Sus scrofa: one gene and its partners. The protein of the gene in region 2 interacts with the protein of the main gene of each other region in a pairwise test. Links are inferred from orthologs where the notes say so. Each region holds a gene or a part of one and is shown on either strand. Other genes may lie near its edges.

Region 1 (10,677 bases), on a different chromosome or scaffold from region 2:
TGTTGGAGGAGTTCACTGCTTCATGAGGCAGCTCCCGAACTGGCTTTAAATGATGACTCATTGAGAGAACATTGATTTCTTTCCTCCCTTCTGAAGCCTCGGGGATGATGGCTAAACAAGAATTAAGGGAGAAATAAGGTCAGCGTCTCTTTCTTTGGAAAGGCTAGGAGAAAGGGAGGAGGAACTGCCATCTAGAATGTGTATTTGCAGCGGGAGAGGCACTTTATTGGGTGCCTTATGTTTGCTACTGTTAATTTTGGTCCTTGCGTTAGAACTGTACTCATATGAGTAAGCTGAGCCTTAGGGACTTACCTGGAATCACCCTGGGGCAGGTGGGGTTTGAAGTTGGGATTTTATAAGCCTAGTTTGGTTGTGGTCTCCTTCTGCCATTAATAGGCTTGCTATATGCCAGGCACTGTGCTAGGTACTCCCCATAAGTATTTTGATAATAGCTATAAAAAGTGAACCAATTTGGTATTAATAACATCTCTATTTTACAGGCGAAGAAGTGGAAGCTTTTGAAGTCAAGTGACTTTCCCTGGGTGGAAACCTAGTTCATAGTCTGGTCAGGAGTCAAAACTAGTTATAGTTGCACCTAAATCCTACGTTCTTTCACCGTACTCGGCAGCCCCTGGCTTTAGCATCCAAGTGCTGTTAAATACTATAGCATTGGGCTGGGTGCCGGCCACATGCCTGCCTCTGTGCTAGTCTCTGGGGTCCCCAGTGATGAATGAGGTGCACTGTTTATATCCTCTAAGGAAGGATCTAAGTGTCAGTGGCTGTAATTCTGGGCAGGGGGAAATTAATGGATACCTTAAGAAGTAGCAACAAAGTACTTTGGGGATTGATAGAAAGAAGAGATCCATTGAGAATTTTTGTTTGTTTCTGTAAGAGGAAGGAATTAAAAAAGTTAGTGAATAGCAGACTTTCAAAAATCTTTGTCCATCTATCACAGGCATAGATATGGGTGGTATCCCCATAGGCATAGAGTACTAAGAAGATCGACCCAGCCCTGAAATTTGGGAAGGCAGGCTTCTATATTTGGCAAGCCTCTTCGTTTAATAGGGAGGTGAAGCGGTTGGTATGGAGAACCCTTTCCTTATCTTTTCAAACAGAGACTCTTGACAACAAGAAGTTTCTGGGGTGACTCATCCTACCTTATGTGGCCTATTTGAGTAACTTAATTTATGCTGTCTAGGATTATACCCCTACTTTAGGTGGCCATTGGAATCACTAGTTGGCTTTAGGTTTTCCAAGAGGAGAGTTTTTCAAGGCACTTCCCTGCATTGTTTTGTTTTTGTTTTTTCCCAGCATTAACCGTAAAAAAACTACCCATAACTCTCACCATTATTTCTTGAAATAAAGATGGATGTTGTTAAGATTATGTGGCAATAATCTTATGACTCTCTGTACACATTTAATGTTGTTCATTTATTCATTCATCCATCCATCCGTCAATCCATCCATCCATCCATCCATCCATTCCTCAACAGTTACTGAACACATACTATGGAGCTTAATGAGATATTATGAGGATACACAAAGAGTCATGGGGCTTCTTCCTTAAAGGTACTTACAGTATATGCAATAGAGATCAGCTGTACCCAACTGTAAATCAAGACAGGGTGTGACAAATGTCTTCACAGAGGTACAATGGCAGTGCTGTGGGAATTCACAGGAGAAAATGAATATTACTTCTGGCTGTGGAAATCAGAAAAGGGTTCATGGAAGAGGTGGTCTCTGAGTGGAACCCTAAAGATAGCTAGGATTTGGAATCCCTGAGGTAGGTGGGAAGGCACCACATATGTGCACGGAAAGTTCTGGAGAGAACACTGGTGATGTGGGTTTGGACCCTGGCTTTGACAATGACTTAGTGGGCTGTTCTTGGATAAGATACCTATAGCTTGTCCTAAGGTACCCCCTCCAGCTTCCTCATTAGTAAAAGAGGGACAGTCCCTACTTTCTGGGGTAGAGGAGGATTAGAGGAAATAGCATAGTGCCTGACACAGAGTAAGTGGCCAATGAGCAAACGTTAGAGCTCATTGTGAATCTGTTGTTTCCTTTCCTTGGGCTTATCTTCCACAGTGGGCCCTTTCATTGCTTGAAATCCTCATCCACTTTGGTCCTTCTTGGCTGGGGCCCTCTGAGACATGCAGAGGAGATGTGAGCCACTGGAGGAGAGGTCAGTCTTCCTGAGCAAGGCTTTCCTTCCAGGGTTCCTTGGGATCCCTTGGGCTCTGAAGGCTGAAAGCAGTTGAGTTTCAGGGGAGAGGAATGCCGGGACCTCTCAAGGTGGGGGTCACTTGAGGAAAGCCACCTCAAGGTGCGAGAGTCCAGGGAAAGTGGCTTCTGATCACAATCACCCAGTTCTAGAAAAACCATCCCATGCCATCAGGATGATCCATCTTGTGAGACAGAGGGTGAGTTCTCACCCCATGCTTTCCTGGAAAGCACTGGAAAAAAAAAAAAAAGGAAAAGAATACTTCCCCAGATCAGGTTACTCAACAGCTTTACAAGCCAATAGGCCTGAACCCTTCTCCACATGTCATAGCCCAGGGAAGTTTCAAAGGGCTCTTCTCAAATTCCTCGTTCTTCCATTTTCCCTCTTTGTACTGGATTAGCACTGGAAAAGCCTGAAAGGTGAGTGACTAAGGGAGGAAGAGAAACTAGAACTTTGGTTACTAGCAGGTGCCGTCCTGGTGGCAGAAGATGGTCAGGCCGGAGGCTTTGTATATTTGAGGAATCCTTTGGGCCTGTAGCCAGAGGTGATGTATAAAGCCAGGTGCAGGGCAGAGGCACAAAGCAGGGCGGAGATGTATTGTTTTAGGCTCTTGGGTTTCCAACACTAACTTTCAGGCAGAGGTGAGTCCAGACAGTGTGATCCTGTCAGGAACCTTCCAGAACCGCAAGGCAGTTTGGCTCTGCTTTTGCAGCTAGAATCTTTAGTCCACTTTTTCTCTAGACTTCTTCTGATACCTCTTGATCCAAGAGAAAATTTGAGTTTGCATTTTCCCTAAGCTGTTGAAATATGGTATATTCCTATGGGAACTCCTGGGGACTCAAGTGAATCCCTAGTGCCTGCTTTAGGGTGGTAGGCGATGGGCTGAGGGCTGAGAAAGTGCTTTTTTGAGGTTTCTGAATGCAGGAAGGGAGAGAAGGGAAAAACTCTGAAGCAGTAAGCGGCAGTCAACCCCCCACCCCTGTTGTGCTGCTCAGGCTTTGGTGGTTTACGTTTGGTCCTGTCAATTTATCTGTTGAGGTCTTCCTTTACTCTTCAGGAAGACAAATTATGCATCTTCCGCTCTGAGCCCATCCACGATGCATGCCCTCATGGCAAACACCGTGGAATAACAGATTTTAAATCCCTAAGCAGAAAACAGTTACTATTGTTTAGAAGAATGGTACCTAAAGAGGTGGGTAAACTGACAGAAAGACAGAGCAACCCCTGGCTGATTGTCTTCCCATTTGTCCGTGTTTAACTCTCCTGATCCAAATTCTTAGATGAGCAAACGTTAAACCAGGAGCATTTTTTTTTTTTTAAATAAACCTGTCACTGTTTTAAAACAGAAATGTTCTGGTTCCTCCAAAATAGTGCTCTTAAGCTAACATTTACCTATAATAGTTTCATCTGAAAAAGTGATGATAACGACTGACATTGATTGCATTTCTACTTTGTGCCCAAGCTTAATATATATAATGGTCACACAGCCCTAAGGCATGGGTACTGTCATCAGTCTCGTTTCACAGATGAAGAAGGTGGGGCCAGAGACCTTACGTAATCAGTCCAGAGCCCAATAGTTAATAAGAACTGACCCCTGGATTTGAATCCTGGCTTGCTTGTGCTCACAGCCACAATGCTGTATTTATCATTCATTCATTTGATAAGTGTTTACGGAGCACCCGCATTCTATCAGGCATTGGCTCGGGTGCTGGAGATACGGTAGTAAATATTACAGATGCAGATGTCTGTCCTAACAGTCAGGGGGAGGGGGCGAGAGGGACAGACAATAATAAAATAAGTAAGTTAAATGATTCATGTTCTTTTGGCACTCAGCACGATGAAGAAAAATAAAACAGGGAAGGGAGGAAAGAGTATTGATAGGGGAGGGTGATGGAATTTAAATAGATGGTCAGAGAACACATTCTTCAGAAAGAGGTAAGGGAATAAGCTTTTGGGTGTTAGAACAGATTCTAGGTGAAAGGAACAGCAAGAAAAGTGATTTAAAAAAAAAAAAATCTCTGGGAATTCCTGTTGTGGCTCAGTGGTAATGAACCCCTGTAGTATCCATGAAGATGCAGGTTCCATCCCTGGCCTCACTCAGGGGGTTAATGATCCAGCATTGCCGTGAGCTGTGGTGTAGGTTGCAGACGAAGCTCAGATCTGGTGTTGCTGTGGCTGTGGTCTAGGCCAGCAGCTAGAGCTCTGATTTGATCCCTAGCCTGGGAACGTCCATATGCCTCAAGTGCAGCCCTAAAATGCCAAGAAAAAAAAATCATTATGAAGATCATAATTTTCAAATGATGAAATTCAAAATAGGAAACCTCATTGTGAAAACAGAGCGGGTATGAGCTCAGTTGTGTGGAGTTAGTGGGAATTCCTCTTGCAAAAATCCCAGTTAACTCACTTAATCCTCTCTCTTCCCCTCTCCCACCGATTTTTCTGGCCTGGAGCTACCCTGGCCCATTTTACTGCATTACCCTTTCACTATACTCAATCTGGGCTCCAGTGCAAGGAGGAAAGTTTCTATTACCGAGTAGAGCTGGAGGCTGCACTTCTGGTCTACTTGAGATGGGAAAACAAGCCCATTTATTCCTATGGAACTGGTTTTTTTTTTTTTTTTTTTTTAATGAAGAGAACTCCAAGATAGGAGTAACCTCAAGATTTTTTCCCTTACACATCTCAAAAGAGGAGAAATGTCTCTGAGCTGAAAACTCCTGAAATTGCCAGTGAATGTTTGGCAGTCACCCCCCTGAAAGGCGCAGTGGCTTTCGATGTAAGGCTTCTGAGTGGGGCTTACAGTTCTGCTGGGCAGTCAGTGTTTTCTGATGACAGCAGCCCTGGAATCTGAGTCAAAAACGCTGAAGTGGGAGTTCCCATCGTGGCGCAGGGGTTAACGAATCCGACTAGGAACCATGAGGTTGTGGGTTCGATCCCTGCCCTTGCTCAGTGGGTTAACGATCCGGTGTTGCCATGAGCTGTGGTGTAGGTTGCAGACACGGCTCAGATCCTGCATTGCTGTGGCTCTGGCATAAGCCGGCAGCTATAGCTCCGATTTGACCTGGGAACCTCCATATGCCGTGGAAGCGGCCCAAGAAATAGCTTAAAGACATTAAAAAAAAAAAAAAAAAAAAAAAAAAAAGGCGCTACAGTGAGTTTATCCTCCATATGCCGTGGGAACCTCCATATGCCGTGGAAGCGGCCCAAGAAATAGCTTAAAGACATAAAAAAAAAAAAAAAAAAAAAAAAAAAAAGGCGCTACAGTGAGTTTATCCTCCTAAATAGTTTTCCTATATGAAAGATATAGGAATGATGAAAAAGGAATCCTTTCATTTCAGGTGTTTAATGATACATGTTCCAAAGATGAAGTTCTTCTGCTTAGTAGATATTGGAGGAATATATGTAGAATGTTGTTGAAGGTGACTCAAAAATAATTTGTCTTAGAGGTCCCACTGTGGGCCAGTGGATTAAGAATCTGACTGCAGTGGCTTGGGTCACTGCAGAGGCACAGGTTTGATTCCTGGCCTAGCACAGGTGGGTTAAAGGATCTGGCATTGGATTCAGTCCCTGGCCTGGGAACTTCCATATGCCAAGAGTTCGGCCATTAAAAAAAAATTGCCTTTGTGAACTTTTACATATTTTACTTTGTATATGTACATAATTAATTGCATATTTAGAAAGTTTATAGCATCAATTTCTACATGGCCGTCTTATATAAAAGTGTTTAGCTGACCTTAATATTACTGTTCTTTCTTTTCCAGAAGATACATATGAACGAACACTGATTGTTGATGGGGAAAGTGCAACAATTATACTCCTGGACATGTGGGAAAATAAGGTATGCAGAACCTGTAAGTTCCTTCAAGGCTTGCCTTCCACCAGGCGGTTTGGTGCAAGGGTGACATTGTCCTTTGTGGGCAGTTCCAGATGAGTTGAACTCATTTTCTTGATTAAAAGCATTGACTTCTAAAGAATGAAACTGTTCTAAGGAACAAGTTGTTCATAAATGAGCTTTGAATACCAAGCAAGTTGCAGTGATTTGCCCTTCTATTCAGAAATACCAAAAAGTCAATTTGTTGTAGGGAAAGTGCCAATAAGTATGGATGATCATTTTAAACTGTGTAAAACCGTATTATACGACCTTGATACTCTCCATCCTAGTTTTCAGCATGTGCTTTGTAGAGATCTGGGGCTTTTGAGCATATACGTTAGATTTTCTGTTTATCGAGAACCTTCTGATGCTGATGAAGGAATTCTTGATTTCATCGGTTGGAAGAGGCGAAAGAGTTTTTTGAAAGCCAGGAAAGGCTCATTTGGGGTAGTTTAAATAAAGTTGGAAATACTGTTTGGCAGAGTCATTGTATAATTTATCAACTCAAGCTGTGAAAGGAGTCAGAAAGTAAAACTTCTTGGCATCCGTACCCCATGAGCCAGCAGTCTTTGTAGCCACAGACATCTTGTAGGCATGGAAGACCAATGCCTTTTGGGGAGTCGGAATGAATTTTCTTTCTTTCTCATATCAGCAAGGATACTTTAGGATACACGCATGGTTTCTTTCAAACGGACACCTCATTTACCAGCTCATCTGAACTCAATGGGAGTTCTTCTCATTTCATTAGGGGGAGAACGAGTGGCTCCAAGACCACTGCATGCAAGTCGGGGATGCCTACCTGATTGTCTACTCCATCACGGACCGCGCCAGCTTCGAGAAGGCGTCTGAGCTGCGAATCCAGCTCCGCAGGGCCCGGCAGACAGAGGACATTCCTATAATCTTGGTTGGCAACAAAAGTGACCTGGTACGGTGCCGGGAAGTGTCTGTATCAGGTGAGAGGAGTGGTGCCAGTTACCACAGACACTATCTCTGGGTCTTGGGTATTTTCCTTTAAACAGTTGCTCTTCCCTTCCTCTTACACAAAGCTGGAACCAGGGACTCTTAAGATGCCACGTGGAGTTTTACGCACACTCGAAGACACCCACATTCCCAATAGATCATCTGGTCTACCTGCAGGATTTCAGTCTCTCCATCCCCAAGCTTTCCCTGGAATTCTTTTAGAGAAGAGGTCATACTCGGGTTTACTGGCAGTTCCCAGCCCTTTTTTCTCATCCTCTCTATTCTCCAGGGACATCTCTCAAGAGTCCCAGGAAGTGAAAGTAGCACCTTCATGCAAGAAGGATGGGAACTTTGATTTCAAGAAACTATTGAGATTAAGAATTCTACTCTGGCTGCCTCTGATTCCTGTAGACCCTAGAAACACCCTTCCAGCCCCTACCCTTTGCTTCCTGAATAACCTTAACCTTAACTTTCCAGTTAAGGTGCCAGTCCAATGGCATCACATATACTTTGTCGTATTTAGTTCAGGCATGATTCCTATTTGTTGAGTTGGCACCCAGTGCCTTTGGGGCCCTTAAAATCTTAATTTTTTTTTTTGTCTTTTCGTCTTTTCTGGGGCCACACTCACTGCACATGGAGGTTCCCAGGCTAGGAGTCGAATCAGAGCTGTAGCCGCCGGCCTACACCAGAGCCACAGCAACGTGAGATTGAGTAGAGTCTGGAACCTACACCACAGCTCACGGCAACGCTGTATCCTTAACCCACTGAGCGGAGCCAGGGATCAAACCCGCAACCTCGTCGTGGTTCCTAGTCAGATTCGTTAACCACTGAGCCATGACAGGAACTCCCTAGGGGCTCTTAAAATTTTATTGGCCTAATTCAAATTTGGTACAAGGGTGAAAAAACAAAATACTGCATTGCCAGGCTCCGCCCAGGAGAAAAGAATGCTGTTAAAGACTAAACAGACCCAGCCAGCTTGGGAATGTCTTACTCTTAGGAAATGACTGTCTGCAGGAGTCATTTTTTCCAAAACCAAACTTGGACACCTGGTCATTGAACACAATGGAGCATTTGAAATTGAGACTGTTTCAGAAAAGCTTTTTTTTGTATCATTCGCCATAATTACACTGTACATGTGTGAAGATCCTCAAAATTTTTCAAAATAACTCATGAAAGCTTAAATAGTTTTTTTTTTAAGTAGGATTCTTTTTGTTTCTTTATTCATTTTTTAAACTTCTATTGAAGTAGAGTTGATTTACAATACTGTGATCATTTCTGCTGTACAGCAAAGTGACTCAGTTATATGTGTACACACATCCTTATTTTCAATTCAGAAAACTGAGTCAAGAGAAAGTTCTCTTAACTTGAGAGTGAAGCGGGTCTGGACTCAGATCCTCCACTTACAGGTTATATGAACTCCCTCAAGTTTTTAAAGGACCCCCCCCCCCCATCATCTACTGGAAAGGGATAATGTGTTTTTAAAGATAGTTGGGAATGTCTAAAAAATGTTTATACAAGATCCTTCTGTATAGCACAGGGAACTATATTCAATATCCTCTGATAAACCATAATGTATATATTCTTTTTCATATTCGTTTCCATATGTATATATAGGTATGAATCACTTTGCTCTACGGCAGAAATCAACACATTGTAAATCAACTACATTTCAGTAACGCTACAAAAAAATGTTTATGAAGTATTTAACCCAGTTCCTGGCACATAGTAAGCGCAATAAATTAAGGCTATGGCTTTTAGTATTGGATGGAATTTGACAATATTTGATGTAATTGGACCTTCACACAGGGTTTGGCAGGCCAGATCTAAAGCCCATCTCTCCTGCTTCTGGCAATCTTCCTGTGAGATTCTGCTGTTTAAGCTCCAGGAGGACACGGGTCCCAGGGGCCTCCGTATCCATTGCATGTGTGATGGACTTAGCATTACCTTGAGGACCATTTAAAAAGAGGATTCATCCAGCTTGGCTGTGTGTGTGTGGGGGGGGATGCTATTCTGCAGCCCCTCTGACTTTCTCCTCCCCACCCCACCCCCAACCAGAAGGCAGAGCGTGTGCTGTGGTGTTCGACTGCAAGTTCATTGAGACCTCAGCGGCTGTCCAGCACAACGTCAAGGAGCTGTTTGAGGGCATCGTGCGGCAGGTCCGACTCCGGCGGGACAGCAAGGAGAAAAACGAGCGGCGACTGGCCTATCAGAAGAGGAGGGAGAGCATCCCCAGGAAAGCCAGACGCTTCTGGGGCAAGATCGTGGCCAAAAACAACAAGAACATGGCCTTCAAGCTCAAGTCCAAATCCTGCCATGACCTCTCTGTGCTCTAGGTACCCAGAGTCACCCAGATGTCCCCCGATGGACGTCACTGAAGGCCATTGGGACCCATAATCTATATTAGATTGGATTCTTAAGTAGTGTAAGATGTGGCTTCCCCTGTTGTAGCTGGGAACTAACATGTTCGCTGGTGGGCAACATTAATGCATGGGAAATGAAAGATCTTTGTAAAGAGTCAGTATTTATTTACATGAAAAGCCTGACCTTTGCTACATGGACACCCGAGACTCGAGAGAGCGTGGTTGGTGTTCACATGTGTTTCCTCTCTCCTTTGGTTTGTAGAGGATGAGTGCCTAGGCAAGAACTTTTTCTTATTAAGATGTTGCCCGGTGTTCTGATATGTGACTCTGAGGCCAATCAGTGGGTCATAGATATAGGAAGGCTGTCAAAGGAATTTTTCAAAGGAGGGAGAACTTCTTTCTCTGTACCTTGTATTCGTGGAGCTAGGATTGCCCGACGGGGCTCATCACAATCATGACTATGATGCTCCATGAAGCTGTGAAAAGAAATGATGGACTTGCTGGAAACTAAAGCTTAGCAAACAGTTTTTTGTTCAATGCCCACAGTGGGGGATCCAGAAATTTGTAGAATTGGGAACTGATACCTGTACCACTAATGGGTTCAAAAATTCTCTCTTTACGACTGTGTCTTATAATTTTTTATTTAGGGGAAAATTATTTTAGCCAAATTCTATTGCATCAAACCACCTTTTGTGTTTCATTATTTTTCAAATCATAAGGGCATCATAAAAATATTTTTAAAATCTGAATTATTGAGAACCTGGAGCGCACAATGCAAAGTTTTTGAATATAATCGAAGGTCTGAATTTTTATAAAACATGAGACATAATACTTCCAATACTTTGGGTTGACCCTTGTATACCACAGCTTTGCTCTATTTATTATTATTTTGCAAAATAACAACCATTTTAACATTTGATAAAGCATATTTATGAACATATTTCTTAATGAGAAAAATGCTCATTTTATTACCATTTTCTATCTTTTTCAGAATATGCAAGTTTTTATCTATATGTCTTCTAATAAAAGAAATAAAATATTTGAAAAAAAGGCATTTCTAAATGTTTTTTCCTTCCCTACAAGGTGATTATGAATATTTTGCTATAGCTTCTAGAGAAAGCACATTATAAAGAAACACACTTATTGTATTTCTTCACTTCACTGGTGGAAGCCCAGTTATTATCTGGTGGGTTTTTTTTTTTTTTTTTCGCTCTTTATGGCTGCACCCGCAGCATGTGGAGGTTCCCAGGCTAGGGGTCAAATCAGAG
Region 2 (11,336 bases):
AGAAAGTTCTATTGGGCACTGCTGTTTCAAACAGCAGAAGAAAATGAAGAAACAACTATTTTAATTATTAAGCCTGACCATATTATAGCAACCCACAATAACAAACAGAGCCCAACTCAAAACCTGTTGTTTTCTCTGGAAGGTTGAGTACCCACACATCACACAGTTTGGCAATTTCAGGGCACTCAAAGAATAACAGGTTCTTTGCACGCTGCAAAACTACTACGGAGCATATTCTTGATATAAATTGGTTTCATCTTTACTATCACTTAAATAAGCCCCAACATAGTATTGAACACCATTTCATCAAATTAAAAAAAATTTATTCAAGAATAATTGATTTACAGTGCTGTGTCATGAAATATTTTCTAACCTAACTTTCTATTTAGATCGTAGTTTTAATACAAAATTTTTAATTTGTAAAAAGTTGCTATTCATTCTGTGATATAGGTAACAAATCCTTGTAATGCTTACAGACAGCACTAAAAACGTATATCCCTTTACTACCCAACTCCCCTACATCCAGCCAATTTAAAAAGCAGGATCCACTCCAATGTCACAAGAGTTGGTTTATTGGTCTTTAATAAATGTTTCTTGAATGTTAGATGAAATTTTCATTACCGTCAAAGTGTTGAACAAGGACACACCCTTTTTGTGTGTGAGTCAGTCTTTCCTCTGACATAAAGTTAAAAAAAGTATACAGTAGAAATGCAATTCTAAAGTGATCATGAAGTTCATCTAACTATGGAAAGTGGCTACCTTTGGATAGTAGAATTAAGGTTCACTTATCTTGTGAATTTCTTTATTTGTTCTCCAGATTTGCCACAATGAACCTGTATTATTCATGCAGTAAGGAGAAAAAGTTATAACTTAATGTCTTCATAAATCTAGATACTAGACTTACAAATAATTATTTTTAGCAATTGACAAGTAATTTGGTAATTAATAATTTTCTTGAAATTGTATAACCAAAGGCCCATCATTTGAGAAAGCAGCACTGAAATTATTGCAAAGAATCTTATGGTACTGCAAATTTGAAAATGTCCCTTAAGTTGGGTCAACATACTTGGTTTTCATTTGAAAGGCATTTTTGGCATTTGTTTTCAACAAGATCACTTTAGCTGATTCTCTTAGGCATACTAACTCAAAAAAAATGCAATTATCCTGCAGACAATACTCAAAATCTTTTATATAAACTAATGAGAATATCAGATTTTAAAATGTGATACACATGGAAAAGATGTGAGAATGTGTCCAACAGACTGGCACAGGTATTTTTTATTATATATCAGCTCCAGGGTGGGAGGGAGCAGCAATGGAAATCTTATATATCACAGATATGAGTTCTTTTATTTACTAAGCTTACTGTAGTCCTCAGAGAGGCCAAGCATTTACAAAATGACCATGCTTACAATGGTTATTTGCCTCATGTGTGTTGTATGTCCTAGGGTGGACTTGAGGTTTCCATGTCATTCTAATTACCCATTTTAATAACCTAGGTACTATACTTGGAAACTTTCAATGGGGTAAATTGAGAAGCACGTCTATTAAAGTTTATGGCCTCTATATTACACTACTATTTTTTTCTTTTTAGATCCACACCTGCGGCATATGGAGGTTCCCAGGCTAGGGGATCAATCGGAGCTACAGGTGCTGGCCTACACCACAGCCACACCAGATCCAAGACGTGTCTGTGACCTACACCACAGCTCAAGGCAACGCTGGATCCTTAACCCACTGAGCAAGGCCAGGGATCGAACCTGCCTCCTCATGGATGGTTCTTTAACTGCTGAGCCACTACAGAAACTTCCAGTTTAAAGAAGTTTTAATTTGCTTTTAAACACTGTGTTCAAGTAGTAACCTATGTTATTCAAATTTAAAAAGTAAAGCCTGTATATGTATTTAAAACATTTTTCTATGCCTACAATATCTATATATAATACAAAATCCATAACTACCTATTGGATTTATGCAGGTCTAGTTACCCAACCAATCCACTTGAGCACAATAACTAAATGTACAAGCGATTTTCTCTACCTACACTTTCAGTTTAATACATTTTAAAAATTAAAATTTCCTAAAAAGATGACACTGGCAAGACAAATGTTAAAATATTCAAAAATTTAAAAGTCTGACAACAGCCAAGTGTTAAAAGGATATGGATCGATGAGAAGGTTTACGTAACACTGGTAGAATATAAATTACTGCAATGACTTTCAAAAACAATTTGCTTTTTTTTTCTTTTTTTTTGGCCATGCCTGCCACATGTTAAGCTCCTGGGCCAGGGATGGAACCCACGCTGCAGTTGCAGCCTGTGCCACCAGGGAACATCCCAATTTGGCATTATTTAAAAAAATTAAACTTTCACATACCCTAACACCCAATAATTACAACTTAAATATATATTTGAGCAGAGGTTCTCAAAAGTGTGGTTCCTAGACCAGCAGCCTTAGGATCACCTGGAAGTAGGTCAGAACCTCAAATTCCTAGCCTCACCCCAGACCTAGTGAATCTAAACCTATAGGGGTGGGGGTCCTTCAATAGTTGTGCAATTCCTCCAGGCGTCTGCAATGCGTGCTAAAGTTTGTGAACCACTGCCCTAGAAAGGTGTTTGCACATGTGCACCAGGATACACAGGAATATTCATGGCAGCACTGTCAATTTTATAGCAAAGATTTAAAAAAAAGAAAACCTGTCCATGGACAGGAGAAGGGATAAATTGTAATGGTATTTTTATATGTATAATTATTATAAAAAAGTGAAAATGACTAAACTATCACTATGTGGGACATTATGGATGAAATCTTAGAAATATTATATTGAATGAAAAACTCAAGTCCAAAAAGACTATATACAATGATACCAATTCAGGATATGTTGTGTCCCAAAGCTGACAAGACAAAAAAATATATAGTTTGGTTATACACACATACATGACAAAGCTATTTATTGAAAAAGAAAAAAAAAAAAGGGTGGGAAAGAGAAGTACAAAATTCATAAAATTGGCTGCCTTTATGGGAGATGCAGGGGGACAGGAAAGCAGACAAGCACCTTAAGATTTGGTAATGTGCTATTTTTGGGGTTGTATGGTAGGTTTATTGATATTTGTTACATTATAGTCCTCTTTTTGGGCAGTTAATAATCTTGCTTGTATTCTTTTATATGTATCAAATATATTTTTAAAACATTTAAACTTGAAGAGCAAAGTTCTTTGTCCGTGTGTGTGTGTCCGTCCACACCTGTAGCATGTGCAACTTCCTAGGCCAGAGATCAAACCCATGCCACAGCACTGACAATGATAGAAGCTTTAACTGCTAGGCCACCAGGCAACTTTACAAGGTTCTTTTTAATGTTCAGATTTTAAGAGGCAAAGCTTTACATGGATTTTCACCGTTCTTCAACGGAATACAGTGAATTCAAATCTGGGTACTTAATACCAACAATATATTTGTGACCTAATAACATCAAAGCCAGAAGACAGCTAAGTCCTGGACCAAGACCATAAACATCAGTACAGAATTAAGATCTATTTCATATCCTGCTGTAGCTGCACTACCTGGCATGGTTCCTCATACAAAGACGGCTCTCAATAAGTGCTGACCTAATGAATCAATGAGGTATACAAAAGGCCTACAACTGGCACATTACTGATTACACTAAAATTAAAAAAAAAAAAAAAAAAAAAAAAGCAACTTATGTCCACAATGCACAGAAACTGAATTGCCATTGGGTTGCTCAGAAGCCACTCACTACATGCAGAGAGAAATCTGAGTTCTCATTTCAAATTCCTCGATGCCAACTATTAGAGAGAACACTAATAAGAGAACGATATGAATTCTGAGGCATATGGAGAAAGGATGAAAGGTTCAAATCTGACTCTTTTAGAGTAACTTAAAAGACTCCCCTTTTTTTTTTAGAAATATGGTCTTCATTATATTTTTGACTATGTACCCCATCAGTAAAGCGTTTTGGGGTATGTGCTCAAACATTTGCATATTTACTTATTTATAAACTATCACTGCCAGGAAAAATATGATTTCCCAAATGATAAGAAGACTTTTACTGACTTAAGATTCAGCCAACAAGTAAAAATCCCTTAAAATTTTATCATTAAATTTACTGAACTTCTGCCACATTCAAGACTATCTTTAAACATTAAAAAATGAAAAAAAAATCTAAAATTGTCTTTGTGTGCTGGAAAATATTTTAAAATGACTTGCTCATTGGAATGACTTCATCCTATCATTGGCTGATATTTCGAAGAACCATATACACTTAGGGAGCAATTTATTATTCATAGCAGTTATTAAATAGGACTTCAAATAGTCTTCTTTAAAATTTGGCCCTTTTTGCCCTCTTATCACATCCAGAGATCCACTGTTTTTAAAAAATCTGATAGTTTATATTAGGAGAAGTGGCAGCCCTGCACTTTCTTGTGGCTTGCGTTTGCAAAATTAATACTGTGTTCAATCAGCATCTAAGTCTTTGAAGGAATCTTGTAAAGTCACCTGGCATTTTGGTGAGGACTAACTTAGTTAAAACTGGATAATACAAATCTTAACCTGGCCCATGTAAGCCTCAACACATCACAACATGCCAAAGGGAACCAACCAGTGAAGAAGTAACCATTAACTCTTTTCACATGTGAATGCATTCCCTTCTCTCAGAAGACTTGGGCCCAGCTGACATAGTGATTACACATCAAAAGCAGGTGTGTCTTTCCAGATTGAAAAAAATCCGGTCTTAGCATTAATTTGCATTTTTAAGTAAAAAATACAGGTAAGGCATATGTTATTTCTTCTTAAACTCTCCTAGAACTTCTTGCACACCCCCTGTGGTGGACCATCTCACCCCAGAAAGCAGTTTTAGAAAATGCACAGCTCGCTCTTCAACATGAAAACATTCACCAGTTACACTTATGTTTACTCAGGATATGGAAAAGTCATGGGAGCATATGATGTAGCCCTCAGGGTGACTTTGTGCCTCCCCAAACCCAGGCTTCACAACCGGCCCGGCAACCACTGAACAAGCTTTAAAGGAGAAAAACTTATTTGGAAAAAAAACCAAAAAAAAAAAAACCACCCAAAAACAGGCATTACTCTTATGCCCAGGAAACAAACACAGAAGCTAGGCAAATAAGGAGATAATGAAAGTGACACAGATATTCCAACTGGTGGATAGGAAATCAAACTCTATCGCTGTAGTGTGTCGTTTCAGCTTCATGAAAATCATGTCACCACCATGCCAATCTTGGCTAAATACAGTTCCTTTATTTATATAAAAAGCAGGCTGTTATGTTTTATTCTGCTTTCTTTTGTCAAATAAGAGTAATTATACTACTACTTTCTTAATCAGCTTAAGGGATCAGAGGAGAAACACTGATAACTTTGGCGCAGAATATGCTTTCCAGTTAAGTAGTAAGGATTATGGTCAGACTTATTTTTAATACCGAATCATACTGGTATTCTCCAGTGGGGTTTGCATGATCTTTGTAACAAATATATTAAATTATTTGAGGATTTTTTTTTTGCCCAGTCTTCCAAGATTCTCAGACAAAATGTTTTTAAAGCAAATAAAATTTAAATCCAAAAAACTAACCTAGTCAAAACTAGAGAGCTTTCCAAAACAAACAAACAAACAAAAAAAAACCTTATTAAAAATATGGCAAGACCAAGCCAGCTGATTTTTGACAAGAACAAAATTCAGTAGCTTCAGAAGAGATTTAGAGAATAGCTAAATATTTAGGACAGGGTCCAAACATCTTGTCTTTCATGGAATAACAGAGGAGAGATGTTGAATAAAAGGGTCAGAGGTCTATTTTTGAGAACAAATTACAAGTGTGACTTTAGAGATATTAAATCTTTCTTCTAGTAACAATACATATTTTAGATTACGAGTGGTAGTTATCAACAGACAAAATAGGTACCGACAAAGTTAATAATGGTCAGAAATAACATGAACCTGTGAAACCTATTTAAGGTAGCATTTATGAAAATGCAGGATCCTGAATTTATGCCAGTTGTTTTCATATGAGTATCAAACCTCTAAGACCAGAAGAACGCAAAACTGTAGCCAACAAACTAGGGTGTGGTTCAGATTTTTAGAGCACATTTACTCAAGCTTGAAGAGTAGTTGAAAAGCCCTTTATTTTTTTTTTCTTCACCTTGGCACAATGACAACATTTAAAAATTTATGTTCCCTAAATATGCAGGAAACAAAGCATTCTCGCAAATAAGACAGTGAGGGCAATCTACCTTCACCTCGGACGCTAAGGCTTAGTTATTTCTAAACGTCATTTAGCCACACCATAAATGTCTGCCTTGAACAGTCAAATTTTCCAAAGAAGCCGAGCAACTTTCATGGGTGGGGCAAGAGGCTGAGAAGGAACAGGATTCATTTTGGCTAGCTCCAGCGCTGCACAAATATTTAGCACCACACCCTCAACAAAGGCCTAACACAGCAAAGAGTAATGTCAAATCAACCCATTTTGGTCTATTGTCCCAGTCCTCTAAGGAAATGAAATTAGGTGGATTAATAAAGCGAGTACAGAAGTTTGGCGGCGGCGGAGCTGGGGTTCCTAAAAGAGGGGCGGGTTGGGGGGACCATCAGGAAAATGTCACTAATTTTCAATCCTTCTATTCGATCTGGGATTTACTTATCCACCGATAAAAAAGAGTTTAATTCTTTTCACCTGATTAATGTCCCATGCCTTAGTTGTTACCACCACTTTCTGGAGCAGACCATTACTCAGCACGAAGGTGGGAACCAGCGTTTTCGGGAGCCAGGGGTGGGGGGCAGCGGGGTATCGGGGGAGATGGGAAGAGGAATAGAAGTCTCCAGCGCTCAGGTGACAGCGGTCCTCTGTTCTCCAGGACCCCCACCTGGACTTAGGAACCATTAAGCACAAGCTGACCTGCGCTGGTCCCCATATCAGCTGGGGCGTCCAAGGGCAGACTCAGGCTAGGGATCCCCGAGGTTGAGAGGAGGCCGCGGGGACCCGACGCACACCTTCTCCAGGACACCCCCCAACCCCGGAGCACGCCCACCTCCCCGCTCCCAGCCCCTCTCCCCAACTTCAGCCCTCTGCCCTGCGAGCCCGCTCCGCACTCTGCTGCCCTCGCCCCCCGCAGACGGGCCCGCCTCGCCTCCTCCCGACCCCCTTACCTTTCCATTCTTGGGGCTGCCGTTAAGGAACAGGGTCACCCGCCTCATCGCGCTGCCCCCACTGGGTCCTGAGTGAGTCGCCACCCTCCCACCTGGCTCTCCTCCCACCTTTTTCTTCTCCCGCCCTTCCCCTCCCGCCACCCACTCGGACTCTCCTCCCTTCGCCACCTTCCTTCCCTTACAGACGCACACACACACAGGCACGCACTCTCCGTCCCACACCCCAAGGTTGGCCGGTCCTCCTTCCCACCCCGCCCCTGGGCTCCTCAGTCAGCCTGGGGCCCTTCCCCCACCTCTCCCAAACTGACTCTAAGCTTCGCCAATCATCCGGCCGCGCCGGCCAGAACTCAGCCAATCGTCGCGCTGCACTGGGCGGGCTCTTACTAACCCAACCCAGGTGGAAGGAGGGAACAGAGACTGCTGTCTAGCCTACGGAGAAGGGTTATCGGCCAATCAGAGCTGAACCAGGAGCCAAGCGGCGGCTCAAAGCGTTACTGAGCAGGCGCAAAGCCAAGACCAGGTAGAGCTCATCTGCATACAGAGGCGGAGGTTGATGGAAGGAGGCGGAGCGCTGAAAGCGAGCCACACCAGTCAGCGCCTTCCTATTGTAACCCCTCCCACTCTGTCAGCGCACACAGGAAACGGCTGCCGTCGAGACTGGCTGATTGGGTAAGAGCAGCCGACTGTTCTGTCAGGATTGGCCCAATGATTCTTTTCGAAGTTTGCAGCATCCAATCGGAAGAGCGGGAACTAAGCTACAAGCCATAACCGAAGGCTTCCTCCGCGAGACTCTCAAGAAAGTAGTCTCCACGGACGGAGGTCAATCGCTGGTTTCCCTGGTCACTGTGTCACTGCAGCTAGCGGTGATGTCCCTCCGAGCTCACGAAGCCACACCTGTTCCTGGGACGGCGAGGTGAAGACCTGGGAGCCTTCGGGGTGAGCGTGCACACGTGCGGATGGCGGCGGCGTAGAGATTCGCAGAGCAACGCCGGGACGACGAGGAGGCGGGGCTGGCGATTTGAATCGGGCGGCGGGCCGCGGCCGGGTGGAGGGGAGGGTTCAGGTTTACGCCGGCTCTGGGGATCCGAGCGTCGGCGGCGGGGGACGAGGTAGCCTCCTCGCTGCTGGTTTGGCGGCCGACAGTTGCTTTCTCGAGCGAACCCTTCAGGACCAAAGAGCCGAAGTCTAGAGCGCACGACACTCATCGGTGGAGCGCTCAAAATAAACCCGACCGGAGGAGAGCGGAGCTGCGGGCGCGAAAGGTAGGCGAGTGGCCTGGGTGGGATTTCAGGGACGGTGCTACCGCAGAGATGTTTTTTTTTGGCATGTTTCTCAGAGGTGTGTTCTTCTGGATCACCCCTTTGCTTTTTAAAGTGCAGATTTCCCGGGCCCAGCCAGATCTTCTGAATTAGAATTTTTGAGAATCTGCAAAGCTGCATTTCTAATAGGGTGCCCAGTTCAATTCTGATGTTCGCTAAGGTTTAAAAGCCTTGCTTTATAGTATGAGATCCGCTTTGTTTCCCACATTTCGCTTTAATTTAAGCTCCAAAAGTTGTCTCTTGTCATCTGCCTGTATAGATTGTATTAGAATTAAATCTTGAAAGAGGATCTTGATCAAATCACATTTATCTTGGAGGTGGGGCTCTTTTTCTTTCATCTCTTTTTCAGATGGATGCTAGTTCGAAAGACAGCGAGCCCCTTGAAACCAAGGAGTCTGCTTTTAACGCTGGTATGTAGTGACCTGGTATCTTTCTGTAAAACTTAAGGTTTAGGTCTTTTTCTTGACAAGGATGTTTAGCCCTCACCACGTGTTGTCTGTTTCAGAAAATACTTCTTTCATATTGGGAAATGGGAAGCTTGTCACGCCTCAGAAGCACTCAGCTGAAGTGACTCCTAATCGTTGTACATCAGATACTTTTAAATCGCCTTTAAACTTTTCCACAGTAACTGTGGAGCAATTGGGAATTACACCTGAAAGCTTTGTAAAGAACTCCTCAGGTGAGAGAGTATTTTTATTGCAGTGCTTTTAAAAGCAATAAAAATTAAATTCTGTTTTGTTCAGCTACCCTGTCTTAGTACTTTATGCATCTAAATTGACCTTCAAACTTGCTGGATCAGGGAGACCAGGTCCCACGGCTCCCAGCATGATGATGTGCCTAAGTCACAGCTGTGCTCCATGGCCAAACTGGAAAAGAAAATCACATTTTGACCTGATACATAAGATAGAGAGGCGTGTGTGCTATAAGCAGTAATACATTCTATGGTCATGTGTGGCAAAAATAAGAGAAAGCTGAAGAGCAATTAAGAGATTGTGACATGGGAATTTCTGTTATGGCTCAATGGGTTAAGAACCTGGTATAGTGTCATAGGATGTGGGTTTATCCCTGGACTCACTGAGTGGGTTAAGGATCCTGTGTTGCTGAGAGCTTTGGTGTAGGTCACAGGTGTGAATTGGATCCAGGGTTGCTGTGACTGTGGCATAGGCGTGCAGCTGCAGCCCCAATTCAGCTTCTAGCCTGGGAACCTCCATATGCTGCAGGTGAGGCCCTAAGAAGAAAGAAAGGAAATGTGACATTGCAAGATTGGCGTATGTCTCTTTCAAAGTCACAAACAGAAAATTGACTTGGGCTAATCTCCTTCAAGGAGTAGAAATGAAATTCACCTGTGAAGTCTGACTATAGCTGGAGAATAACGGGAATGGAATTCGAGAACAGCATTTAGAAATGGAAGGTAATGGGGGACTTGAAATACAGGCACTAGACTAGAAATACAGGATAGAGAGCAGACCAAAGTTGCACGTCATCCCACGTTCCCTTCTCAAGAACATCACTCTTAGACTTTAAAGAGCTAGATTCAGGAGTTCCCATTGTGGCTCATCAAATTAAGTAGTGTCCTTAAATAGTATCCTTGATGTGGGTTTGATTCCTGGCCTCTCTCAGTGGGTTAAGAATCTAACGTTCATAGGCTGGCTGCTGCAGTTCAGATTTGACCCCTAGTCTAGGAACTTCCACAAGCCGCAGGTGCAGCCCTAAAAAAAAAAAAAAGAAGAAGAAAAGAAAGAAAGAAAGGAAAAGGTAGATTGATTTTTGTGGGTTTAGGTGCATGGCTGGAATACAGGGTATTGTGCTGAAGGTAGATCGGTATCTGAGAGAAACAAATTGTCTTGAACACTTAAGGACAGGAGAGAATGTGCTTGTGGGTGGGGGGTCATCCTCAGGGATAAGACTGATTAAAGTCTTAGTCCAAAGCAAGCCATTACCAACTCTGGAGGAAATAGGAAACAAAAATGAGACCTGTTAATTAAAATATGTTCACATGCTTGTTCCCTAACTTTGATAAAGGCCTTCTATGTGCCAGGCTCTGCTCTAGGATTAGACAGTAAATCAGACGAAATAGGGGTACCCACCCTACAAGTGGTGGGTGAACAATTTTGCCTATACTTTTATACCTAGATTTCTGCACCATGTGTCTGTCGTGTTCTCTCTCAGGCTGGTGGATCATATTCAGTGCCTGATTGCAAATGATTGCCTTGTTTTATTCCAACTTAAAAAGGTGTTCTCATTATAGGAAAGTCGTCATCCTACCTTAAAAAAGCCAGACGACGCTCTACAGTTGGTGTTCGGGGCTCCCCTGAAACAAACCATCTGATTCGTTTCATTGCCCAGCAGCGGAGTTTAAAGAATGCTTCTTCAACCAGGAATTCCCCTTTTCAGGTAGGATTTTCTTTAAATTCCATCACGAATTCTTCTAGGAGAATGTTTTTCTTTGATGGAAAGCTTCTTGTACCATTGCTGCTCCCCAGCATACCTCATCTGTTTTGGATCTGGATAGAAAGTCATATTTTCCTCTGTCTAACAAAGATTGTGCAATTAGCATAAACATTGGTGGAGAGCATGGATCTACTAAGAGTTATGAGGAGTTCCTGTTGTGATGCAGCAGAAACAAATCTAACTAGTATCTATGAGGATGTGGGTTCTATCCCTGGCCTCGCTCAGTGGGTTGAGGATCTGGCGTTGCTGTGGCTGTGATGTAGGCCAGCATCTGTAGCTCCCATTCAACCCCTGACCTGGGAACCTCCATGTGCCGAAAGTGCAGCTGTAAAAAGCAAAAAATAAATAAATAAAAGTTATGAGATCCTGAATAGAAAATGACTTCCTAGAGGTGCTTTCTAT
Region 3 (10,677 bases), on a different chromosome or scaffold from region 2:
AACACTGTATCTTTAACCCACTGAGTAAGGCCAGGGATCGAACCCGAGTCCCTTATGGATGCTAGTCAGATTTGATTCTGCTAAGCCATGGTGGGAACTCCCCAGGGCTTTTTTTTTTTTTTTGAAGAGGTTGCTTAGCCACTGGTACTTAAAAGTTTTGCTTTTAAGAGGTATACTGTTTTGGTTCCCCACCACCACCCAGTTCTTCTGTTCACAAGAATGCTCAGTGATGGTAGAATATACAGTTTTGAAAGTAGAGGAACTAGGGCTTGTATGTTAAACATATATATTAAATATTACCTTTACATAGGTAGTTTGAGGTCTTTTTGAAGAAAGGCTAGAAAATATTAGTGAACAGTAGGGAAAAAGCCATAGGGAATCATTAGCATTTTGGTATATATCCTTCCTGGTTAATATATATATATATATATTTTTTTAAACAAAGATGGGATCATTTTATTCCTATTATTCTAGAACTTATTTTTCTCATTAAACATTTAATATAGTATCTCATTTTAAGGTTATATCATAATTTATTTTACTGGCCCTCTCGTTTTGCTTCTAAGTTTTTGGCTGCTATACACAGTGCTACGTTGAACATTCTTATAGTACTTGCAGGAAAAGAAGTGAGCCAGTTGGTTCAAAGGATATGAATATTTTTTAAAGTTTGTGGTATTTATAGCCAGGTTCTTTTTCAGTATGGTTGTACTGTTTCAGACTGCCTCCTGCACTGCCAGTATTCCCCATACCCTTGCCAAAGCTGGGCATTGCCTTTATTCTCCATATTTCCTGCCAATGTGGCAATAAAAAAGGTGGTGTCATTTTAATTATTTGGAAAAAAATGTTATCTCATCAAATACTTATTTTTGGTAGTGAGTATGAAAATATTTTAATACCTAAGAATTTTTAACGATTTGCTTTTTGTCTTTTGTGGGAGCTCATTTTTTCCTTGCTGTTATCTAAGTGTAAGAGTGTTACAGATAAAAGATATCAACTCTGCATGTTACAAGTATTTTAAACATTTTTAATATAAAATAGTGGTTGTAATCAATTGCTTTTTGATTTACAGAAGTGCTTAGCTCCATATTATAACCTCTAATATCTCAAATTCTGCTTATAAGAAGATCACAAGCAGATTTTTAGGCTTTATACTGCATCACATGAGCTTAAAGGATTGGGATGCTAATTGCTCTTCTTGCTAAGAGTAAAAAAAATCACCTGATTTTACAGCTAATTTATTTTTTGTTTTATACTGTTTATTACTGTTTCACACTTCACTCATTTTTGTTGTATCTTCTGATATGTAGTAATGAAAATTTTTTCTTCTTCAGCTTGACCAAGAATGTTCCAATATTTGTTTGCACTATGGCCTACCCCACTGTGCCTTGCCCTCTTCATATATTTGAGCCAAGATACAGATTGATGATTCGAAGAAGTATACAAACTGGAACAAAACAGTTTGGGATGTGTGTCAGTGATACACAAAATAGGTATGATTTTTGTGTAAATATTTTGATTGATACCAGAATTTTCTTTGAATATTGCTGACAGCGTGCATGCTTATTGCTTGAACTTTGATATTAATTAGAATTTTTATTTTAGTTTTGCAGATTATGGTTGTATGTTACAAATTAGAAATGTACATTTCTTGCCTGATGGAAGGTCTGTGGTTGATACAGTTGGAGGAAAGCGATTTCGGGTTTTAAAAAGAGGAATGAAAGATGGCTATTGCACTGCAGACATTGAATATCTGGAAGATGTTAAGGTATTAAAAACTATTCTTTTTCAGCATGCTTCGGTATACTCTGTCCTAGACATTATATAGACTTACAGGTTGATTTTCTGGTTCTTCCTATCAGAGGCCCTTGGCAATACTGATGCAGATTAGCTCTATGTTACCTTTTACCCGTCTTGCTCTCAGTTGGCGAGTTCCAAGAGAAATGGGGAGACTAGAATCGAGATTTCATTCATTTCTACTGGCTCGACAACCTGCACAGTGCCTACAATGTGTGTATCTGCATGGTAGTCACTTAATAATAGCAAAGGATTGAATTGAACTTTTAGCCCAAAGTTTTGAAGCCTGCTAATCTCTGTCCTTTTTAATTGAATTTATTGTAGTCAAGGCTGATGTAATAATCAGTATATTGAACTTTGATATAAAGTTAGCACATTAAGTCCCTGAAAAATTGTGTCATATATTAAGATATGCCTAAGATAACCTCAGTGATAAAATAGACACATTTGGGTGCTGAGTTCAAACTCTAAGGCATCAGATAAAGCACTGTCAGTATAGTCATTTGATGATATCTTACCTGGGAAGGGTTATTGTGATAACTTTCTTAGATGGGGTTAGTGCTCCCCTTTTGATATTTCCAGTATCTACTTTACCATCTACAGTTAGTTTAAGTATCAGAAAAGTGGTTTGTGATACTATAAATATCAAGTTAAGGGCAAAATCCTTAGCATTAAAAACACTTAGATCTTACACTGTCACTTGTTCGTTGATCTGTTTGAGCCCTTCATCTCAGTCAGCACTTATTAAATATTGACATTAGGCATTTCTACAAACATTAGCTTATTGAATTCTCAAAACTTTGAGATAGTTAGCAGATGAGGAAAGTAAAATTCAGAAGTGTTAATTAATTTACTCAATATCATGTAGGTAGTATAATAAAAATAATATAAAGCCAGCTCTCTGGCTCCAAATGCTAGGTTTTATCATTATACCATATTGCCTCTCTGCTAATAAACTTGATTAATCTGATTACCTCTCCTATCATATTATAGAGATGCTGTGGGGAAACTTTGCTGTGTGCAGTGGGCCAAAAGTATTGTATAAATTGGAATTTTGATTGATTGATATGGTGTGTGCTTAGGCATATTTGGTTAATGGAATCATTTGCTTAAGGTGGTATTTTTTGTAAAACTAATAACCTTATTTTAGTTTTATATAAACTTAAATCTTTATATATTGGATTTCCTGACAAAATCCATTAAGTATATGGCTAAACATATGACAATATATAAATATATAATAGTAGAACAGCATGTTGAAAGAATTATGGATTTGATGTTTAGTGCCTCATCTGTATAATGATTTCATATTCATTCATTCTCAAATTTGTTTTTTATATCAAAGGATTTTTTCCCTTAGTGTAGCAATTCTGTTTTCTCTGTCTTCTAATGACATTTTAAATTCTGGGTTTTTTTTTTTTTTTAATTGAATTACGGTTGATTGACAATGTTATGTTAGTTTTTAGTGTACAGCAAGGTGATTCTGTTGTTATATTATTGCAGCAAAGTTTCTTAACTTTAAAAGTTTGCCTTTAGAACGTATGCCTGCTTCTTTCCTCCATTTTCTAATTCAAGACTCTTATCGTTTTTATCATTCCCTGATTACTAGAGCCCATGGTTTGTTTTCTTGGATTTTGTAAGGGTGGAAAGCAGATATTTTTTTTCTTTTTGAATAGTTTTAGCAATCACACGTTTATTTCTTACTCATATCAAAACCAATGTTTGTTAGCAGAGGACTAAATCTTGTATAGCCAATTCCAAGACCAGAATTCTTGAATTGTATGGCTCTTCTACCTTTTTTTAGATGAAATTTTTAATATGGTAAAATATATGTAACATAAAATTCACCATTTTAACTATTTATAAGTGTATACTTTAGTGGAATTAAGTATTAAGTACATTCATGTTGTGGTGGTAAAGCAGATGCTTTTTAAACTTTGGTTTTATTTTTCATTTCAAATCTTTCAAAAATAAAAAGTATGTTGTCTTACCTTTTATATCTCAGGATGTTTTCAAAGTTCCATTGTTGCTTTTATATTGTCATACATGAAGTATGAAAGGCTGATTCAGGCCTGGTATTTGTTCAGATGTGCTAATATATGTGCAATAGGGCTTTCCCTGCCATGGAGTGAGAAGGATATGGGTGTGTGTTAAAAAAAATCAGTATGAGATGGATGAGTTAATGTTCCATCTTCCCACCTCTGTTTTATGAGACTGCGCTTCTGGATCTTAGTCTGGAGGGTTGATGCATTTAATTTTATATTTGTAGTTTGATGAGCCAGATGTCTGAAGGGGGTACAGAGGGGATGGGGATAGCAGGAGATGTTTATCAAGGCATAATATAGTCTCTCTCTTTGGATATTCTGGCTTTATATACTAAGTTCTTTGTTGGGGTTTTTGTTTTCTTATTTTTGGACCCAATTTCCTGGTTAAAGATGTAATTATGCTTTTCCTTCATCCTGTTCTGCCATGTTACCTACACCTTAAACCTCCCCCAGTCTTTCCTTTTGTTCTAGCAGCTGTATTCCTCTGCTAAATTTTTGTTCCACTACTTTCAAAATCCATGGATCCATAAGAAGAAAGGAATTGTCAATCCCTGTAGACCTTTGTCTGGGAACTCGCTCTCCATCTTACCCCTCCCAGCTGGGGGCAGTTAGTTGGGTTCTGCAGTGTTGCATTGCTAAGTCAGCAAGGCTAGGTTGGCTAGGCTGGGAGGTCAGGCCTTGCTGTCCTCCTCAGGGTGGCCCTTTCTGCATGAGGCAGAACTGTACAGTGTATGCTGCATAAGAGTAATATTCTGGTCCAGCACTGAAATAGGTATTCCCTATTTTTAATTTTTTTTCCCATTACCACAGGGTTGGTAGTATGGTTGGGAAGATGAGGCACAGTCATCTTACTGACTGTTGTATTCCTAGGTTGAGAATGAAGATGAGATCGAAAATCTCCGACAGCTTCATGACTTGGTGTACTCTCAAGCCTGCAGCTGGTTTCAGAATTTAAGAGACAGATTTCGAAGCCAAATTCTTCAGCACTTTGGATCAATGCCGGGGAGGGAGGAAAACCTGCAGGTATGATGGCTTTGATATTGTTTCCAAAAGTCTCACTTTTTGTGTCAGCCTAAACTGGTAGATTTTTAAGTTTCTTTCTTCATCTTCAGTTTTGCACAGCATTTCCTTTGTCCCATCTTTAGTAGTCACATCTCAGCTGACCTTGAAATTTCAACATCACACCATTTCTAAAGTGAGTTCTCATCAGTGCCCAGCATATTGTCAGTTGCCATATGTTTGTTTTGTCCTGGCTACCTAAATCTGATTGAACCTGATAGAAGTAGCTTTTGATGAGCATAAAATCAAATAAGTTAACAAACCAGCTTGTAGGAAAATGCAACATTGCTTTCTTTTCCTTCACCTCTACCACCCCCTCTTTTATTCCACAGTCCTCTTCCATTGCTTTCTGTGAGTCATATAGTATCAGTCAGGATTCAGTCAGGAAAATAAAATAGCCAGTAGAGTTTATTGTAGGATGTAGTTGACACAGCCCTTGGGAGAGCTAGACAAAGGAAGGTCAGGGCCATCATCAGTGGAACTCAGGGAATCTCTGCCTGCCTCAGTCAGCATAGGCTCAAGACTTGAGGGGAAGATGCTGTCATCCCTTGGAATCCCAGGGAAGTCCCCACCAGTTTTATCTCAGTCTGCAGTAGTAGAGCAGGTGGTTGTTAAGAATTCTCTGGAAGGCTTCTGCAAATCTTACGGCTGCCCACACTTGGCAGCAGACTCCAGGAAATAATGGCTTCCTCTCCCAAGAGTGCCTCTGCCTGGTCAAATTTAACCTGGAACCACACAGGGGAGGGGATTCTGGGAAATGTCATTTCTGACATCTCTGAATTGCAGAAGGAGGTGGTGGTGGTAATGATGAGCTGAGAACAAAGAGGACACCAATAGAGAAACCCAGTGTGATTATAGGAGGAGCCTGTTGAGATCAGATTATGTCATAGCTCCTTTTGTCATCCTGAAGCTTCTGTTTCAGGTTCATTAAAAAGCAATGCAAACTTATTTGCAGAACACAGACAGACTCACAGACTTTAAAAAACTGTAGTTACCACAGGGGACAGGTGCAGGGAGGTGGGGAGCGTGGAATGGATTAGGGCTTTGGGACTGGCATCTGCACACTGAGGTATGTGGAATGATTGGCCACCGGGGACCTGCTGGAGAGCACAGAGAACGCTACCCAATATTCTGTGATAATCTATGTGGGAAAAGAATCTGAAAGAGAACAGATGCGTGTACATGTATAATGGAATCACTTAGTTGTACAGCAGAAATTTTTTTTTGTATTTTATTTGTGTTAGAGTATAGTTGGTCAGCAGTGCCATACCAATCTCCACTGCACAGCATCATGACCCAGCCATACACTTAGACACGTTTTCCCCTCCCACACTGTCCTCCATCGTGCTTCCTCCCAGGAGATTGTATGCAGTTCCCTGTGCTGTACAGCAGAAATTATCACAATGTTGTAAATCAACTATACTTCAATAAAACTTTAAAAAAAAGAATGACATCATGTAAAAATTTTTCCCCTTGTAAATGTTGTTCATTATATAAAATTTAGGAAATTAGTAAAAAAAAATTTACTCATATCTCCATTCATCCATGAATACTGTTAACATTTTGGTGTATATACTTACTATATTTTATGTATTTGAATTCATACCATATATTCAATTCTCTGTTCTACTTTTTTATGAATAAATTTTCAGTTTTTTCTTATGTTATTCTAATTTGAAAAAAAAGAAAAGCAATGCAATGTGTAGTGAAGGTGGCTTAAACATTCTTTTATATAAATTCTTCCTTCTTTCCATAGCCTATAGTCCAACCTTAAAACATCAGAGGGTCTTCCTTGGTGGAGATAATGTTTATTTTTCAGATGAAACTGGAGGCTGAGGTCTTATTCTTAAATCCTTCCTAGGATTCCACAAGTCTTTGAAGAAATTGAAAAATATCAATAAACTTAGCTCAGTGTTTTAAATATACATTTTAAGAAGGCAGTTCTCAACTGGGGTCAGTGTTGCTCCCACAAGACATTTGGCAATATCTGGAGACATTTTTAAGACTGCCAGAACTGGGAAGATGCTACTGGCGTCAGTAGCCAGAGGTCAGAGATGTGGTAAATGGGCTGCAATGCACAGGACAGTCCTCTTAACAAAGAACAGTCCAGCCCCAAATGCCAGCAGCCTGAGGTTGAGACACCCTGTTTAGGGCAGTGTTGTGCAGAGGAAAGAGTGCTGGCCCAGAGGCAGGTCTGGATTTGAATCTTGGCTCTGCCACATATGAGCTGAGAAAACTTGGACAATTTGCATTATATTCATGAGCTTCAGTTTCCTCATTTTACATGGGCATAATAATATCTTCCTTGCATGATTGATAAAGGATTTGAGATAGCCATTCTGATAGATGTGTTTTGATTTGCATTTCTCTGATGATTATTGATGTTGAGATATCACTTCACACCTGTCAGAATGGCTGTTGTCAGGAAGATAAGAACAGGTGTTAGCCAAGGATGTGGAGAAAAGGAAACCCTCCAACACTGTTGGTGGGAATGTAAATTAGTGCAGCCACTATGGAAAACAGTATGGAGGTCCCTCAAACAAATTAAAAAATAGAGCTACCACATGATCCAGTAATTCCACTTCTGGGTATATATCCAAAGAAAATGAAAGCACTAATTTGAAAAGATACGTGCACCTCAGTGTTCATAGCAGCATTATTTACAGTAGCAAGATACGGAAACAACCTAAGTGTCCGTCAACATATAAATGGGTAGAGAAGATGTGTGTATATATGTGTGCTTGTGTATTTTCTGGTAATATTCACATGTACACACACACAAGGGAATACTAAGCCATAAAAAAAAGAATGAGATTCTGCCATTTGCAACAACATGGATGGACCTGCAGAGTACTATATTTAGTGAAATAAGTCAGAAAAAAGACAGGGAGTTCCCGTCGTGGCTCAGTGGTAACGAATCTGACTGGTATACATGAAGATGCAGGTTTGATCCCTGGCCTTGCTCAGTGGGTTAAGGATCCAGTGTTGCCGTGAGCTGTGGTGTAGATCACAGACATGGCTTGGATCTGGCGTGGCTGTGGCTGTGGCGTAGACTGGCAGCTACAGCTCCGATTTGACCCCTAGCCTGGGAACTTCCATATACCGTGGTTTCAGCCCTAAAAAACAAAAAGTTAAAATAAGTAAATAAGTCAGAAAAAGACTAATACTGTACATTTTCACTTCTATGTGGGATCTAAAAAATGAAACAAACAAACGTAAATCAGAAACAGACTCAAGGATACAGAGAACAAATAGTGATTACCAGAATGGTAGGGGCAAAATGGTTGAAGGAAATTAAGAGGTAAAAATGACTAGGTGTGAAATAAATACATTACAGCACGGGGAATATAGCCAATATTTTATAATAGCTTTATATAAGGAGTATAAGCTATAAAATATCAAATCACTCTGTTACACACCTGAAACTAATATAATATTGTAAGTCAAACTATACTTCAAATAAAAAAATCAAAAAATTTAAAGAGGACTTTGAGATAGGATCTCACTCCATAGTGTTCATTAAGGATTAGCTTGGTGATGATTTGTTACTGCTATGATTACATAAATATTTGTTTTATTAAAACTGTAATATGTGGATTATTTTTAGGCAGTCCCTAATGGACCTGCGTGGTGTTGGTGGCTTCTTGCTGTCCTTCCCGTTGATCCCCGATATCAGCTGTCGGTTTTGTCAATGAAGTCTTTGAAAGAACGGTTGACAAAGATACAGCATATACTGACCTATTTTTCTAGAGACCAATCTAAGTAACCAATTGCTTGGATCTTCCTCTCAAGTTACCCTAATCTGGCTGTGGTGACAGCCAGATTGTCCGCTGCCTTTGCACATCCAGTGCTGGTTTGAGAAACATAATGAACCTGTTCTGTTTTTTTTTTTTCTTCAACCTCCTGAATCATGTGGTTCTGCAAACAAATACCTTCAACTAGGATTTAGACCACTAAGAACTTGCACAGAAAAACACACGCTGAATGTGTGTTAAACCTCTACATTGTGATGAAGTTGCACTATGTACCATACTCTAAATGAAATGAGAACTCTTTGCGTGTGTGTGCGTGTGTGTGTGCGTGTGTGCACGTGCGTGCGTGCAGTATGGGTGCATTTTCTCTGGCTTTAAAATTTTAAAAGAAAAAAAAAAGCCATAGAGAGCAGAACTTGCCGAGGGTCATTTATTGCCCAAGTTTACAACAGTAGCGATACAAGTTTTTGCAAGTTGAATTTGCCTCAGATTTCTCTGTCCTAATGCTTATATTTGCACAAGTATGTAAGCTATGGTATTGAGTATCACTCTTCGTTGGAAATACCGCTCTTGCTGAACTGTCTTGACCATTGACTATGACACAGTCTCTTATTTATGTAAATACTTGCATCCCAATGGCCGACCGGCATCGGATGCAGAATCTAGAGCCAGTTTTCAGGAACAATTGCAAACCTGACATGGTACTGTGCATCTATTCATAAAACACTTAAAACTGTGAAAATATGGTTTACACTTAACTGTACATAAAGGTAAATGGAGAGCTCAGTTCAGTATCAGTCTGTACATTTTAAGGGGGGCTTTTCACATTAACTGCCCATCTGTGTAATTTATAGTTTGACATGATGTGTTTGTTTAAAAAAATTACCTAGTATAAACCCATTAAGGATCTGAGGGAAGTGAAGAAGCTTAATGTAGAACTAAGCTTTTAAAGTACGTTTTGTTTTTTTTAAATTCTGGTCTTGGTGCAAATGTTAGTTATGCCTTATTCATATCACAGTTAGGTCACCATGCTGTGACATGGTCTGTATTCATGCTGCCCTAGATACTTTTGTAATTATTTGTTGCAGACTTGTGACTGTCTCTCTTAACTTTCTTTTATGTAAGTAATTTGTAAAAGTTTCTTAAAATTTTTGCTTTTGCTTATTTAATTTTGAATAAAAGCTAAATTCATAGTACTTTTTTTCTTAAATTTTAGGTCAAGGACAAAAAAGATCAGCAGAGGAATCAAGATACATAAAGAACAGATGAGTTTTGCTTAACTGTTGTGCCATGACACATAAACTGTAGCTTTCAAAATACTTTTTTTTAGTCACCTTTTGATCAAATAATGCAGTATCCTAAGGAAGCTTTAGGCCCTAAAACCATGCTCTAAAGCACAGTTTTCAAACCTCTTAAAAATCCATGTCTTTGTAGGATAAAAATAAAACTCTTACATTTTTGTTAACCCCATTTGGGACTCCTCTTGGCTAAACAGCCTTGACCCTTTCAGTCCCCAGTTCCCAGCTAGGATTTTTCAAATAGAAATAAGTCGTCTTGTAATATTGAATGTTTTTAATTTAAAAATAGGCAGAGGGAGTTCCCATTGTGGCACAGCGGAAATGAATCTGACTAGTATCCATGAGGATGCAGGTTCGATCCCTGGCCTCTATCAGTGGGTTGGGGATCCAGCATTGCCACGAGCTATGGTGTAGGTCACAGACACAGCTCAGATCCCGCTTTGCTGCGGCTATTGGCCTAGCCTGGGAACATATGCTACAGGTACAGCCCCCAAAAAATAGGCGCAAATGACTGTCTCAACAGAGGGCCACTCTTTGACCTCACAATTATGCTAATCAAGAATTTTGAATAGTTCTATCAAAAATGTCTAAAGAATGGGCCATTTACCTTGTCAATAGTTCCTGATGTTTTAGATTAAACTTTCTTATAATAAAAAACTATCAAATGTCTGTTAAATAGCTTAAATAGTGTCTGGATAGTATAAATGAAGAGTTTACCTAATAGTTCTG

Evidence for each region.
Region 1: the proteins of KCTD9 (region 2) and GEM interact in binary tests that used the Homo sapiens proteins (3 or more experiments, as listed by UniProt). The two-hybrid records come from large-scale screens. The link is inferred for Sus scrofa from reciprocal best matches to the Homo sapiens genes KCTD9 and GEM.
Region 3: the proteins of KCTD9 (region 2) and LONRF1 interact in binary tests that used the Homo sapiens proteins (3 or more experiments, as listed by UniProt). The two-hybrid records come from large-scale screens. The link is inferred for Sus scrofa from reciprocal best matches to the Homo sapiens genes KCTD9 and LONRF1.

The regions. Positions count from the first base shown.
Region 1 is NC_010446.5:42,461,479-42,472,155, forward strand, and holds the end of GEM (GTP-binding protein GEM), read left to right. Parts: exon of another isoform or gene 1-138; intron 139-500; exon of another isoform or gene 501-4,236; intron 4,237-5,979; coding exon 5,980-6,056; intron 6,057-6,837; coding exon 6,838-7,042; intron 7,043-9,104; coding exon 9,105-9,382; 3' UTR 9,383-10,463; downstream 10,464-10,677. UniProt on the Homo sapiens protein: Could be a regulatory protein, possibly participating in receptor-mediated signal transduction at the plasma membrane. Has guanine nucleotide-binding activity but undetectable intrinsic GTPase activity.
Region 2 is NC_010456.5:9,510,251-9,521,586, forward strand, and holds the start of KCTD9 (BTB/POZ domain-containing protein KCTD9), read right to left. Parts: upstream 7,437-11,336; 5' UTR 7,213-7,436; coding exon 7,165-7,212; intron 1-7,164. UniProt on the Homo sapiens protein: Substrate-specific adapter of a BCR (BTB-CUL3-RBX1) E3 ubiquitin-protein ligase complex, which mediates the ubiquitination of target proteins, leading to their degradation by the proteasome.
Region 3 is NC_010459.5:883,272-893,948, reverse strand, and holds the end of LONRF1 (LON peptidase N-terminal domain and RING finger protein 1), read left to right. Parts: intron 1-1,331; coding exon 1,332-1,490; intron 1,491-1,602; coding exon 1,603-1,765; intron 1,766-4,709; coding exon 4,710-4,862; intron 4,863-8,505; coding exon 8,506-8,664; 3' UTR 8,665-9,969; downstream 9,970-10,677.